Tamandua tetradactyla: one gene and its partners. The protein of the gene in region 2 purifies or fractionates together with the protein of the main gene of each other region. This does not show direct contact. Links are inferred from orthologs where the notes say so. Each region holds a gene or a part of one and is shown on either strand. Other genes may lie near its edges.

What was found.
Region 1: the proteins of PRKACA (region 2) and PALM2AKAP2 purify together in Homo sapiens (affinity purification with mass spectrometry; 5 studies listed by BioGRID and IntAct, with this or other methods). This does not show direct contact. The link is inferred for Tamandua tetradactyla from reciprocal best matches to the Homo sapiens genes PRKACA and PALM2AKAP2.
Region 3: the proteins of PRKACA (region 2) and MAP2 purify together in Homo sapiens (affinity purification with mass spectrometry; 3 studies listed by BioGRID and IntAct, with this or other methods). This does not show direct contact. The link is inferred for Tamandua tetradactyla from reciprocal best matches to the Homo sapiens genes PRKACA and MAP2.

What each region holds. Positions count from the first base shown.
Region 1 is NC_135328.1:28,593,065-28,596,812, forward strand, and holds the start of PALM2AKAP2 (A-kinase anchor protein 2), read left to right. Parts: upstream 1-1,472; 5' UTR 1,473-1,487; coding exon 1,488-1,540; intron 1,541-3,748. UniProt on the Homo sapiens protein: Binds to regulatory subunit (RII) of protein kinase A. May be involved in establishing polarity in signaling systems or in integrating PKA-RII isoforms with downstream effectors to capture, amplify and focus diffuse, trans-cellular signals carried by cAMP.
Region 2 is NC_135337.1:88,739,590-88,743,337, forward strand, and holds the start of PRKACA (cAMP-dependent protein kinase catalytic subunit alpha), read left to right. Parts: upstream 1-1,512; 5' UTR 1,513-1,527; coding exon 1,528-1,582; intron 1,583-1,649; exon of another isoform or gene 1,650-1,730; coding exon of another isoform or gene 1,731-1,752; intron 1,753-2,994; exon of another isoform or gene 2,995-3,312; coding exon of another isoform or gene 3,313-3,465; exon of another isoform or gene 3,466-3,529; intron 3,530-3,748. Other genes in the region: SMIM46 (small integral membrane protein 46), read left to right, coding at 3,313-3,465.
Region 3 is NC_135329.1:184,749,363-184,753,110, forward strand, and holds the start of MAP2 (microtubule-associated protein 2), read left to right. Parts: upstream 1-763; 5' UTR 764-1,219; intron 1,220-3,748. UniProt on the Homo sapiens protein: The exact function of MAP2 is unknown but MAPs may stabilize the microtubules against depolymerization. They also seem to have a stiffening effect on microtubules.

The DNA of each region.
Region 1 (3,748 bases), on a different chromosome or scaffold from region 2:
CACTTCCTTTTTATTCTCCATTACAGCAATGTTTTAAACAACTTTATTAAGGTATAGTTCATATACCATAAATTCACCCAAAGTGTGCAATTCAGTGGTTTTTAGTATATTCAGGGAATTGTGCAACCATCATTACAAAACAATTTTATAACACCACAGCATTTTATTACTAAATTTTTATAGCATTGTTTTTCCATTTGTGATGGTATGTTGATTTTTCTCTTTAACTGTGTATTGTCTTTCCTTTTTAGCTTGTGAGCTCCAGGAGAGTGGGCACTATGATGACCATGCACAGGACACCAGCTGCATCCTGAGCACCCACCTAGCTAGCAGACACCTACCCCAGAGGGGCCAGTAAGTAAGTATACGTTGAAAGGCTTGTCCCATCTACTCTTCCCTGCCTCGATAAAGGGCACTTGGATGGGAAGCAGATTCCCCCTCTAGAAGCCATTAGGTGTAGCGGGTTCTCAGAGACCCGGTGTATGGAGGGAATACATGTCCCAGGGGGCTGATTACTTTGGGGGTGGGACCGTGGTAATTTGAAAAGCATATTCAATATACCAATTGTTTTCATAAAACAAACTAGGTAAAGTAACGCTGGGCCACATCTTCCTGGCGGACAGGAATACGCAGAAGATGGAGTGCTAACGAGAAAGGCCTGTAGGGTCGTCAAGGTGGTGAAACTGTGTTAATTCGCTGCAGCGTAGCTGGAGTTTTCCTTGGGAAACTCAGACAGATGCCCGCTGGGCTGGCACAATGGCGTTTCCGAGCCCATGCCCAGACCACTGGGGGCAGTGCTTACTATTTGCAGAGCCCAGACGCTTCCTTCTCTTGCAACTTACAAGCAACTAGAGCTGCAGCCTTACCAATGACTCAATCGTTTCCCTACTGCTTTGGGCTGTGCCACCCACCGCAGCTGGCCCCGTCTTCTCTCCCCACCTCTCACCGCCCTCCCACCCCTCCTCCTACCCCACCCATCTCTGTGCAGCACCATCGGTCCTAGGGGAACCGCGGGCGCACCTGGCGCCTCCGGCGCCGGGGCACTGCGCACTGGTGGCCAAATCGTCCGGCGCGCAGCTACCAGCTCGCCCGCTCCCCCGAAACACTTAATTGGAGTGGCTCGTCTAGCGCCCAGCGAACAACATTATCCAATTGCTTACCGTTTTATTCGCAGGCTGGGAGCTGAGAGAGCCTGAGCATTCACTTTCAACCCTCAGGGGGAGGGGGTGTGAGCGAGGAGGGGAGACGGCTGTCGGCTTCACCTCGCGCGTGGCGAGGCCAGAGCGCTCCACTCCGGCAGAGGCGAGCAGCGCCGGTGAGCTCCGCAGCAGCGCGTCCGGGCGGCCCGGAGCCCCGCGATGGAGTGAGTATCCCCTGTGCTGCGCAAGCTGATGGGGCCCTCCACTCTGTATGTTGCCATAGTGACCGAGGCAGCAGGCCGATCCAGCTCTGGTTCCAGTCCCGGATGGGTGTTTAATTTCAGTCCAATGTGTACGCCTGGTGTTTCTATAGCAGCAGCTACCGCGGCAGGAAACCAGGGGTAGGAGACCCAGGATGTGTGGTTTTGTGCCATTGCCCTTTGGTCAGCAGGGCCTTGGAATAGGGCGTGGGGGGTGGGGGTGCTGTTAAGGAGGGAGGCATGTCCTGGGCTTCCCCATCTCTGCCCCAAGCTTCTGCTTCTCAGGGAGTTGGCCGCAATAGCCATTACTTCCGATTCCTAACCATGTCAGCGTTATTGGACTGCAGTTTAAAAAGGTGGGGGTGGGGGGGGTCGGTTACTGCGGATCGGAAGCAAATGTGGTTCGTTGTGAGAGTGTAATGGAAGAATGATGAGTTGGGGGTAATATGAGTCAAGTCTGCAATGCTCTGGACAGTAGACACCATAAGAAGACTCAAAATAATTGATTTGCTGTTAGGGTAATTGAGAAAAAAGACTAAAATGTATGAATGGCTGCCAGGGATTGAATTACAATGTTTGGCACTGTAGACAAGGCACGGGAGGGGTGGAGGTAGGAGGGCAGAAGGCAAGAGAGGCGTTATCCAGAAAAGACACAATAAAGGGCCGGGTTCTGGTTCCTCTCTCCTCTGCTTTTGCATCCCTCCCTTGCTTTCCACTCACCCTCCCAAGCTGCTGCGGCAGCAGGGCCACTCTGACAGGCGACAGCCAGCCACTCCAAGAAAGGGTCGTTTTTGAAGCCAGTTATTAGATAGCTGGTCAGTTTCTCTTCCTCCTTTTCCCTTCCCACGGATACTCACTGACACTGAAGCTGTATGAAATCATATTTCAGCCTGGAGATAATGTCATGTTTTTAGGTATTAAAGTCCTTCATGTCAAACAGAATTAACCCTAGATGCAGCCCTTATCCTTCTGCATATCTGATTGTCTAGATGCAATTTAGACCCCACCAACGAGGCTGGTAAAGCAAAAGTGAGAGATGGTGTGGCATTTGAGAAGTGAACAGCCCTGGATTTCAGGTTCTGCCTTGCCTGCTACTAGTGTTGATTCCATATACCAATAATTTCATGTCTTTGTGCCTCAGTTTCTTTTTTTGTACAGTGGAGACAAAAATATTCCTTATCTACTTTTAAGTGTTGTTGAGAGGCTCAGATAATATTTGTATCTCTTCTAAAGGGCTGTGTAAATTGTAAGGTATGTACAAATTTAAGTGACTAGTGCCAAGATTAAGAACTCACCTCTGGAGTCCTATTGTCTGGGTTTGAGTTCTTTGGCATGTTGCCAAATAATGTTAATTTTTCTGTACTACTTTCCCCATCTGGAAAATGGGAATAATTAAAATAAATATTGCTTATGATTTTTGCAAAAATTGAATAAGTGGATACATGTACAGTGCTTTGAACAGAGCCTTGCGCATAGATATTATCTTTTTCTGTCATGATTATTGTGGTCTCTAGCATTATCCGGTGACATTTGATGGGATTGCAGGTTGGCACCAAGCTATTTTTTTCCCAGACAATTTATAAAGAACACAGTGCCCTAAGGGAAAGCCCTGAGAGTAATATGGCTGCCAGATTTCTCAAGGTACTGTTTGTGGTAGGTGTGGAATATCAACCAGAAGACATGAGCAGGCGTGGGTAGACAGAGCAGACACTGGGCAAGTTCCATTCTCATTCCTCATTGTCATTTTCTTTGACCGTCCTTTACAAGACATTGAACATAGGCCTAGTAATCCCACTGTGCAGGGTTGAAGTGTACCTTGATTGCTTGCCAGGGCAGTAACCTTTATCTTACAGTCTTACATCTATAATCTAATATATATCATATTTCTCCCAGGCTTAGCGCTTGGGTACTCAATAACAGTGGAACAGCATACAGGATTTGTAAGTTTACCTCTTCAGACCTTTCTCCCATTCTTTCTTAGTCCCCCAGCTAATGGTTTGTTTCCAGTGTGCTCACCTCAAGCTTGGAGTTTCTTTTTCATCACAGTCTTCCTCTTGCTCCACAGGCTCCAGATTGCTGCTTTAGTCAGACTTTTTCTTTCCTGGTTGACCTGGCCCTGGCTTTCCAGTTCCCACGTGAAGTTAAAGGTCCCTCACCTTCCCGCTGAACTTCTCTATTTATAATTGTCTCTCTGCCCCATTTCCTTTCCTTCTTTAATATAATTAGCTCTTGAATTCTTTTTTTTTTCTTTCAGAATACCATCTTTTTTTGTTCTTCCTTGGGTCTTATTTAAATTTCCCATATGCCAAATCCTGCCTTTCCTCTCAATCTAAACTCTCCTAAAATCTC
Region 2 (3,748 bases):
ACAGAGGAGCAGGTGGGTAGTGTCCAAGAACGGTCTGGCTATGAGCATGGAGGGGACTAGGGAGGGGGGTGGTGCTGGGCCCCTAGCAGGTGAGGCCAGCCGGGAGATGGAAGGTGGAGGCCAGCAGCTATATATTACAGTGGTCCGGTTGAAAGTTGGGGAGATGACATAGTCCTGGAAAACCTTCAGGGTATACCAGACACGTGCAGTGGGTGAGGGGTGGAAAGACACAGGGAAAAGGATCCCCAAGAAAAAGATCAGAGGCTCCAGAAGGAACTGTTAATTCCTTCGGAGTGCAGGCCGGATACCCAGGAATGGGCAGTCATGACAAAAAAGAGCTCCTGCTTGTTGGGCATCTGGGATGTGCCAGGCAAAACAGTTTCCGAGTTCTTTCTTCTCGTGTCGTTTTTCACAACAAGCGGCTGTTACCTGAATTTCCCAAATGAGCTCACTGAGTTTGACAAAGATGATGTCAGAGAGGTGGGATTTACATCCAGATCTGCCTACCAGCAAACTTCCTGGACCCCAAAATTACCCAACACAGACATTCTTGGCCATCTCCCTGATCTTGCTCTGTTCGTTCGTATTTTCTTAATTTAAAATAAAACTTGAACTCACTTTGGTTCACATGTAAAATTTGACCCTGTCCTAAGCAGTAATATAAAATGAAATTGCCATGCCAGTTATGTTTTCTCCAATACACATTCAAATACATATGGAGCTCGAAAAATGAGATATATGTCTCCCCTAAAATCATTTCACCTGCTGCCATTGGGATGGTTGGGAGATGCCCTAAGTTTTACTTCCTCCTGGAGGCTCACAGGGGCTCCCAGTCAAGGAAATAGGATGAAGAAAGCCCCCCTTTGCTTCAAAGTTCTGAATCTGAGAGGATGAAATCAGACTAGCATTTGCCCTCTTGTTACTAGAGTGAGGTAAGGGGCAGTGGCCAGGTCCCACCTGTGGGAGGCACCTGAATTTCATCTGCTGCACATCAACCCCACTGGGGTGAGGCAAATGCCCAAGTCTTACAGGGTACCAGTGCAGCATCCTGAAGCTCACTGTGCTGCCTTCGTGCCAGAGCAGGACCAGATCTGCCTCCTCCCAAGACCGCGGGGATCTAGAACGAGCCTGGGGGCTGCACCCAGAGATGCCCAAAGCCATTGGCAGGGGCTGGATAAGAAACTGAGAGGACAGGCAAAAAAAGACCAGGCCCCCTGGCTCTGGCCACACCGAGGGAATTAAGAGAGGGCAGCGGCCCCAGGAGGCCCTATGGACAGGCAGCCAAGTGGGACTTAGGTCTCAGGACTGGCACTGGCTGAAGACACCCCTGGGAGCCGGCCCACAGGGGAAGGGGCAGAGCTGGTGAGGGGGAGAACCCAGGCCCAGGGCAGGTCCCTGGATGGAAAGAACTGCTGTCCTCATACTTCCTACAGATGCCCATGAGGGCAAAACACCTCCCATGTATTGGCAGTTGTATGGGTGCCCAAGAGGGTCCTACCGAGGCAACCCCTCCCTTATCCCAATCGCATGTGCAGGGCCCATGTGCCTTTCCCCTGCACCCACTGCACCCTCTGGCCTCCAGGTTAAGTTTCTCTTCCTGTCCCCCACCCCATGACTCCCTGGCTCCCCCTATGGGCAGGGTTCTGGGATGGGCCGCCTAGCTGGTGCAGCAGGTCTCATGAGCCCTCCCAGCCACCGTAGCCCGGGTGCCTTGAGAGGGAGACTGAGTGATGGCTTCCAACTCCAGCGATGGTGAGGCTGTGCCCTGTTGCTATAGCAACTTTCCGGGCACTCCCTGTCCCCCAAGTCAGGGAGGGGTAGCGGTAGGGTCTGGGTAGCCAGAGTTGAGGAAGACTCTGTGGTCCTCTGGCTGGCCCCGGAAACCCCTGCTTACTAACAGCCCCGGACCAGGGGGACCTGGGGCAGAACGCGGGGTATGCATGGTCCTGTTCAGACAAGGGGGGATGATCCTCCCAGAATGGGGGTCCAGCCCATTGTTGGGGTTTGTCTGAAATAGGGGCTAGTCCGGCCAGGGTTGGGGTTCACCTAAGAATAGGGGTTGGTCCAGTTCAACTTTGGGGTCCAGCACTGGATGGGAAATGATTCAGTCCAGAATGGGGGCCTAGTTCATGGATTCTTGGTTAGACTGGAGATATCAGCCATCCCAGAGTAGGGGGCCAGGCCCAGACTGGAGTTCCCAAGCCCTGGAACTCCTAGGACAGCCAGGGTTTTGGAGGATGGCGGGACCTGAGATTGTTGCCTGGGGGCTCTGGGGCTGGGCTCCTTCTGAAGGAACCGCTAAGCCCCTGGCCCGTTTTGGCGTTCTGCTGTTCTAGTCTCCCATTTGCAGGGTGACTTTCTAGGTTTCTGTCTTCGTCCATGGCCCTGGTTTTTTGAGGGGTACATGGGGTTTTCTCTGTGCACCCAAGCTGAATGCAGACGAGGCTCGCAGCCCCGTGTGGAGGAAACCAGCCGTCTGTCCCTTTCTCTGTCACTTCCTCTTGCCAGCAGGGACCCCGGGTGCCACCGACCCCCCTGCTTCTTTGGGATCTGGAGGGAAGGAGGAAAGATAGTCAAGGCTGCCTCCCCCTCCCCCACGCCTGGGTTTAGCCTTTCGTTTCCGGTTTGGACTCTCATGGCCGAGAGCAGAGCCAAGCACTGGGCAAGGTTTGACAGAGGCCAAGGACATCCCAGGATGCCCTCCCCTCTCCGCCCCCGCATGGGATCGAGACAAAGAGCCAGATGTACCCATTACTCTCTCAGAATAGGATGATTCGGGGGTTCCAGTTTGAAGGGAACTCAGGGGACGAGATAGGGGTAGCTCGTGCTCCCCCCACCCCCATTTCTTTCCAGCTGTTCTCTTGGCTAATTAACGGAGCTCTGGAGCCTCTTGAGCCCCCAGGGAATCTCTGACTACTGCCTGGGCCTTAACTCCTTCCCCTCTGCCCAGGGAGTACCACCCTGGGTACTTCATTTGCCATCTTCTGAGCAGACCCACATCCACTGAGGAAGGCAGGGCCTGGCATCTCGGGAACTACGAAGTCCCTGGAACAGGAAGGTAGCTTTAGCAGCCCGCTGTGGGGTTGTCGGGCCAGGAGGAACACCCTCGGGAGAGTGTCCCCTCCGCCTTCTGCCAAAGAGGGCCTCCGCCAGCCCTGGGCAGCAGGAGCAGGTACCTTTAAATGCTTCCGTGGCAACCAGCGCCTCCTCTGCGGTCCCGGAGGCCCTCCCAAGGAAGCAGGCTCCAAGGCACTGATTTTCCTGACTTCCCTGCAAAGGGAGGATTCCAGGGAGAGCCCAGGGTGGCCTGGGATGGATCTGGGGTCAGGCAGTGGCCAGGGTGGGGATTCGGAGACCACCTTCCAGGTGTGGCTGCAGCTCTTACTCTGGGCCCACCTGGCTGTCCGTTTCCTGAGCTACCTGCGCCACACCCTCTCGAGGCCCAAGCTACAGCCAGCACCCTGAGCCCCAGATCACCCCACCACACCCACCCCCACCTGTCCTCTGCTGGAAGAGGCAGGAAGCAGAGGTGAGTGTGGGGGCTACCAGCTGGGGTTTACTCCTTGCCCCTCCCCATCATCCCTCTTTATCCACCTGTTTCTCTTAGCACTGCTCCCCTTCTCCACTCTCTTCCCCAAAGCTGGCAAGCCAGCAGTGCCCCCATGGCACCAGAGGGAACTTGGTTTGGATCCTTCATGCTTTGAGGCCTGAGAAGGGCTGAGCAAGGCACCCTTGGCAACCACTCATT
Region 3 (3,748 bases), on a different chromosome or scaffold from region 2:
GTTTACCCGACTGCCGGATGTTCGAATGGACTAAGTATAGATTTAGAAATCTCATAAGCCAATATTTTGGCTGAAGATATTCTTATCCAAAGTGAGAATACTGCCTACCTCTTAAACCTGGAGTCTAGGGTAAAATCAAATTTGTAGAATCAATATGACTTCTCTTCCAAATTAACCCAGACCAAGGCAGACTAAACAGTGGAACTGCAGAGGGAAAAAGCTGCAGCCCCAGGGTTCTTGATTCTGCCTCACCTCAGAAGAGAGAAAGGCAGTACAGACTCAAGAGAGATTGTTAAATTGCTCCTTAACCACATAACTCCATAAACACAGCTAGAGAGAGCAATTATTTACCTCATGTGTTTCTAAAAACTTTTGCTTTTTTTTTTTTTCTTGTTTGAAATGAACGGTATTCTTTTCAGGCAAAAATTTGGAAAAGACCGGTAAATAATTTGCATTTTCTCATTTAGAGTAAAATGTCAGACCGGTACAAATAAATTAGGAAATCATGAGGGAAAAATGGAAAGGTTTTAAGAAATTACGTCTCCAATAAGTCAACAAGTATACAAGCCAATGTACTTGTACTCAGAGAGTACTTCTTAATTCCTGTCAAAAATGTTAGTTTAGGGCGGACCACGGTGGCTCAGCAGGCAAGAATGCATGCCAGAGGACCCGGGTTCGATTCCTGGTGCCTGCCCATGCAAAAAAAAAAAAAAAGTTAGCTTAAATATAAGCGCAGGCGATGCGCCCTAGACTAGAAATCAAGATGGCGGAGGAAGAGGCTTCCCGGCGCTACCCACGCACAGGAGCTTTGAGGGAACAGCGAGAACTGGCAGAGACATCGTACTCAAAGCCTCAGAAAAAACAATTAAAGGGCTCCATTACCAGGGAGAGCACTAAATTAAAACAACTTAGAAGCTTTATAAATTTCGGAGCAGGCTGACTGGACCGACCCCCACCCCCTGACCCCTGAGAAATTGGAAAAGAACTACGGGACATCAGGAAAATGGTAGACGAGCACAGAGGATATCAATAGAGGGATACAAATTACTAAAAGGAACCAAAGAATTCTATATCCAGCAAAACTGTCTTTCAAAAATGAGAGGGAGATTAAGACAGTCCCTGAAAAACAAAAGCTGAGGGAGTTCATCCGGTAGCTCCGTCCTACCGGAGACTCGAGAAACGGACGGAAGCCTCGGAAGAAATAAAGGTCACTGGTGAGGTAAGGACATGGGCAAATATAAATGTGTTTTTGATTTGTAACTCTTATTTTTTACTTCCTACAGAATCTAAAGGGCAAAGGCATAAAACATAACGATAAATCAGTGGTTTAGGACTCGTAATGAATAAATATGTAATTTGTGACTGGCGCTATCTAGAGGTGGGGGTGGGGTGCAGAGGGGGTTAGGAGCACAGTTTGTCTAACCTGTTGAGGTTGATATCAAAGCAAATGAGATTGTTACAGATTTATGATGTTAAATTCATGTCTCATGGTTACTAAGGAAACAATATGAAAGCAAGTAGAGGAGGGTTGCCAGGGGTGGGTGGCGGGGGAATGGGGAGTTAATGTCTAATGGGTGTGGTTTCTGTTTGGAGAGATGAGACAGTTTTAATAATGGAAGGCGGTGAGGGTAATGCATCATTGTGAATGTAATCCATTCCTTGGAATGGTACGCTTGGAAGTGGTTGAGATAGAAAAGTTTGTGTTGTGGATATGTGCCTATAATTTTTTTTTTTTTTTGAGAGCAGCTAAAGAGACAGTGGCAATTAAATGCAATATATGATCCTGAATGGGATTTTTTTTAGTTTTCTTGGCTGCTCAGTGGGTAGGCTTAAAAAATAGGAATTTATGAACTCAGGGTTTGAGGACTGGAAAATATCCAGATCAAGTCATCATCAAGGCCAGGCTTTCTCCTTGACCACTGTGGTGTTCTGGGGCTGGCTGCTGGAGATCCCTGGTCTTTGGCTTTTCACATGGCAAGGCACGTGACTTCGTCACCAAGTCTTTCCTTTCTCCTCTGTGTTCCATTGATATTCAGACTCTGGCTGCCCCCTCTTTGGCTTTCCATCTGTCAGAGTTTCATTCTGCTTATTAAGGACTCCAGTAAAAAGATTAAGACCCATCCTGATTGAGTTGGGTCACTTCCAATGGGTTTATAAGTTTAACAACATGTTTTCTGGGATACACAGCTCCAAATAACCACAGGATCTAGCATGGGAGAAAAGGATCAAAAGAATATTTATCAGGCAGGTGAAAAAAAATGTAAGCCTTATATCAGTGTTAAATTTCTTGAACTTGGTAACTGCACATAAGGTGGTTACATAAGTGAATATTCTTATTCTTAGGAAATGTGCATGGCGGTATTAAGTGTTCAAGGAGTGTGACTTATACAACCTACACCTAAGTGTTTAGAAATCGGATTGATAGATATATATACACGGATAGATAGATGGGTAGAGAGAATGATATGGCAAATGTGGCAAAATGTTTAAATAAGGGTATCTGGGTGTCTGGAGGATTATGGGTATGGTGAAGTTTTCCATATAGGATTTGTATTATTTTTTGTAAGGTCCTTTTTTTTTTTTTTGCAATTTTGAAAGTATTTAAAAATTAAAAGTTCTAAAAACATACGTAAATAAAAATAGGGGATGTTTCTGGAAAAAAAATTTTAATTTTATTTTTGAAAAGAAAAAACCCATTGTTACAAAGGGATAATGCAAAAGGATACCTTATGTATCCTGTGGGAAGCAATACCTTGTAAATTAAACACAATTTTGAAATATTCAAATTTTAATACTAATTCTATTTTTAATCCATTATGATTTGAGACCTGAAGTGAAAATATTTAATAGTCAATTATTTTCCCCTAACTTTTTATTAAAGTCTAAGGTAGAAAACTTAGAGGAGAGTAGTGTTCATCCAGCAATGATAAGAGGAAGAAGGTTGGTTGAAGAGCATCCTATGTGTCTTCATTTCACCTTTCTCCACAGGGGACATATTTGCCCTAGAGGTCTCCAGAGGAAATACAGACTCATTTTCCCATCTGACTGATGTCCCAGAAAATTGCCATTCTTATCAGATTCTATGTAAGATCTGCACTATAAGAACCAAACTAAGAATTTTTAGCCGTTCAGGAGGCTCTCAAGTGTAATGCTGTGAACACTTTGGTGAGACAGAACAGCTTACTGGTGGCAGGCATAGAGCAGGGACTGTGTCCCAGGTCCAGGTTCTCTCCTTGCCTTCCTTAGTAGAAACGTAGACATATGCTACTTATCCCAGGCATGTCTCAGTTTCTTCCTCTGGAAAAAGTGTGAGAATTATAGTTACTTACCTGTTAGGGATTTTATAACATTTATTAATGTCTCAAAACTCTGTAAATAAAAATAAATTCTGCACAGATGTTAATTACTTTTATTCAAAGAACAGCCTCACAGCTATTCTATTGCCAGATGCAATAGAAGGTGGTGAACAGGTTTCCAACCTTTCTCATGGAGGTCAGATAGCAATTAGTAAGAAGAATAGTCGAGAAAAATGAAGCAGTTAACCAAGATCTTAAAATGAAGGCATTATTTAATAGAGCTGAAGGAAGCAGGCATCTACTGGAAATGAATGTGGCATGACGGAAAATAATTGGAAAATTGAATCGTCTATGGCAGTATTTCATAAAAGGAGAAAATACCTTTGACACTACCTGAATCTGAGTGGAATAGACAAGTTTTGAGAATATTGCTATACTTTGTATAATCAAAC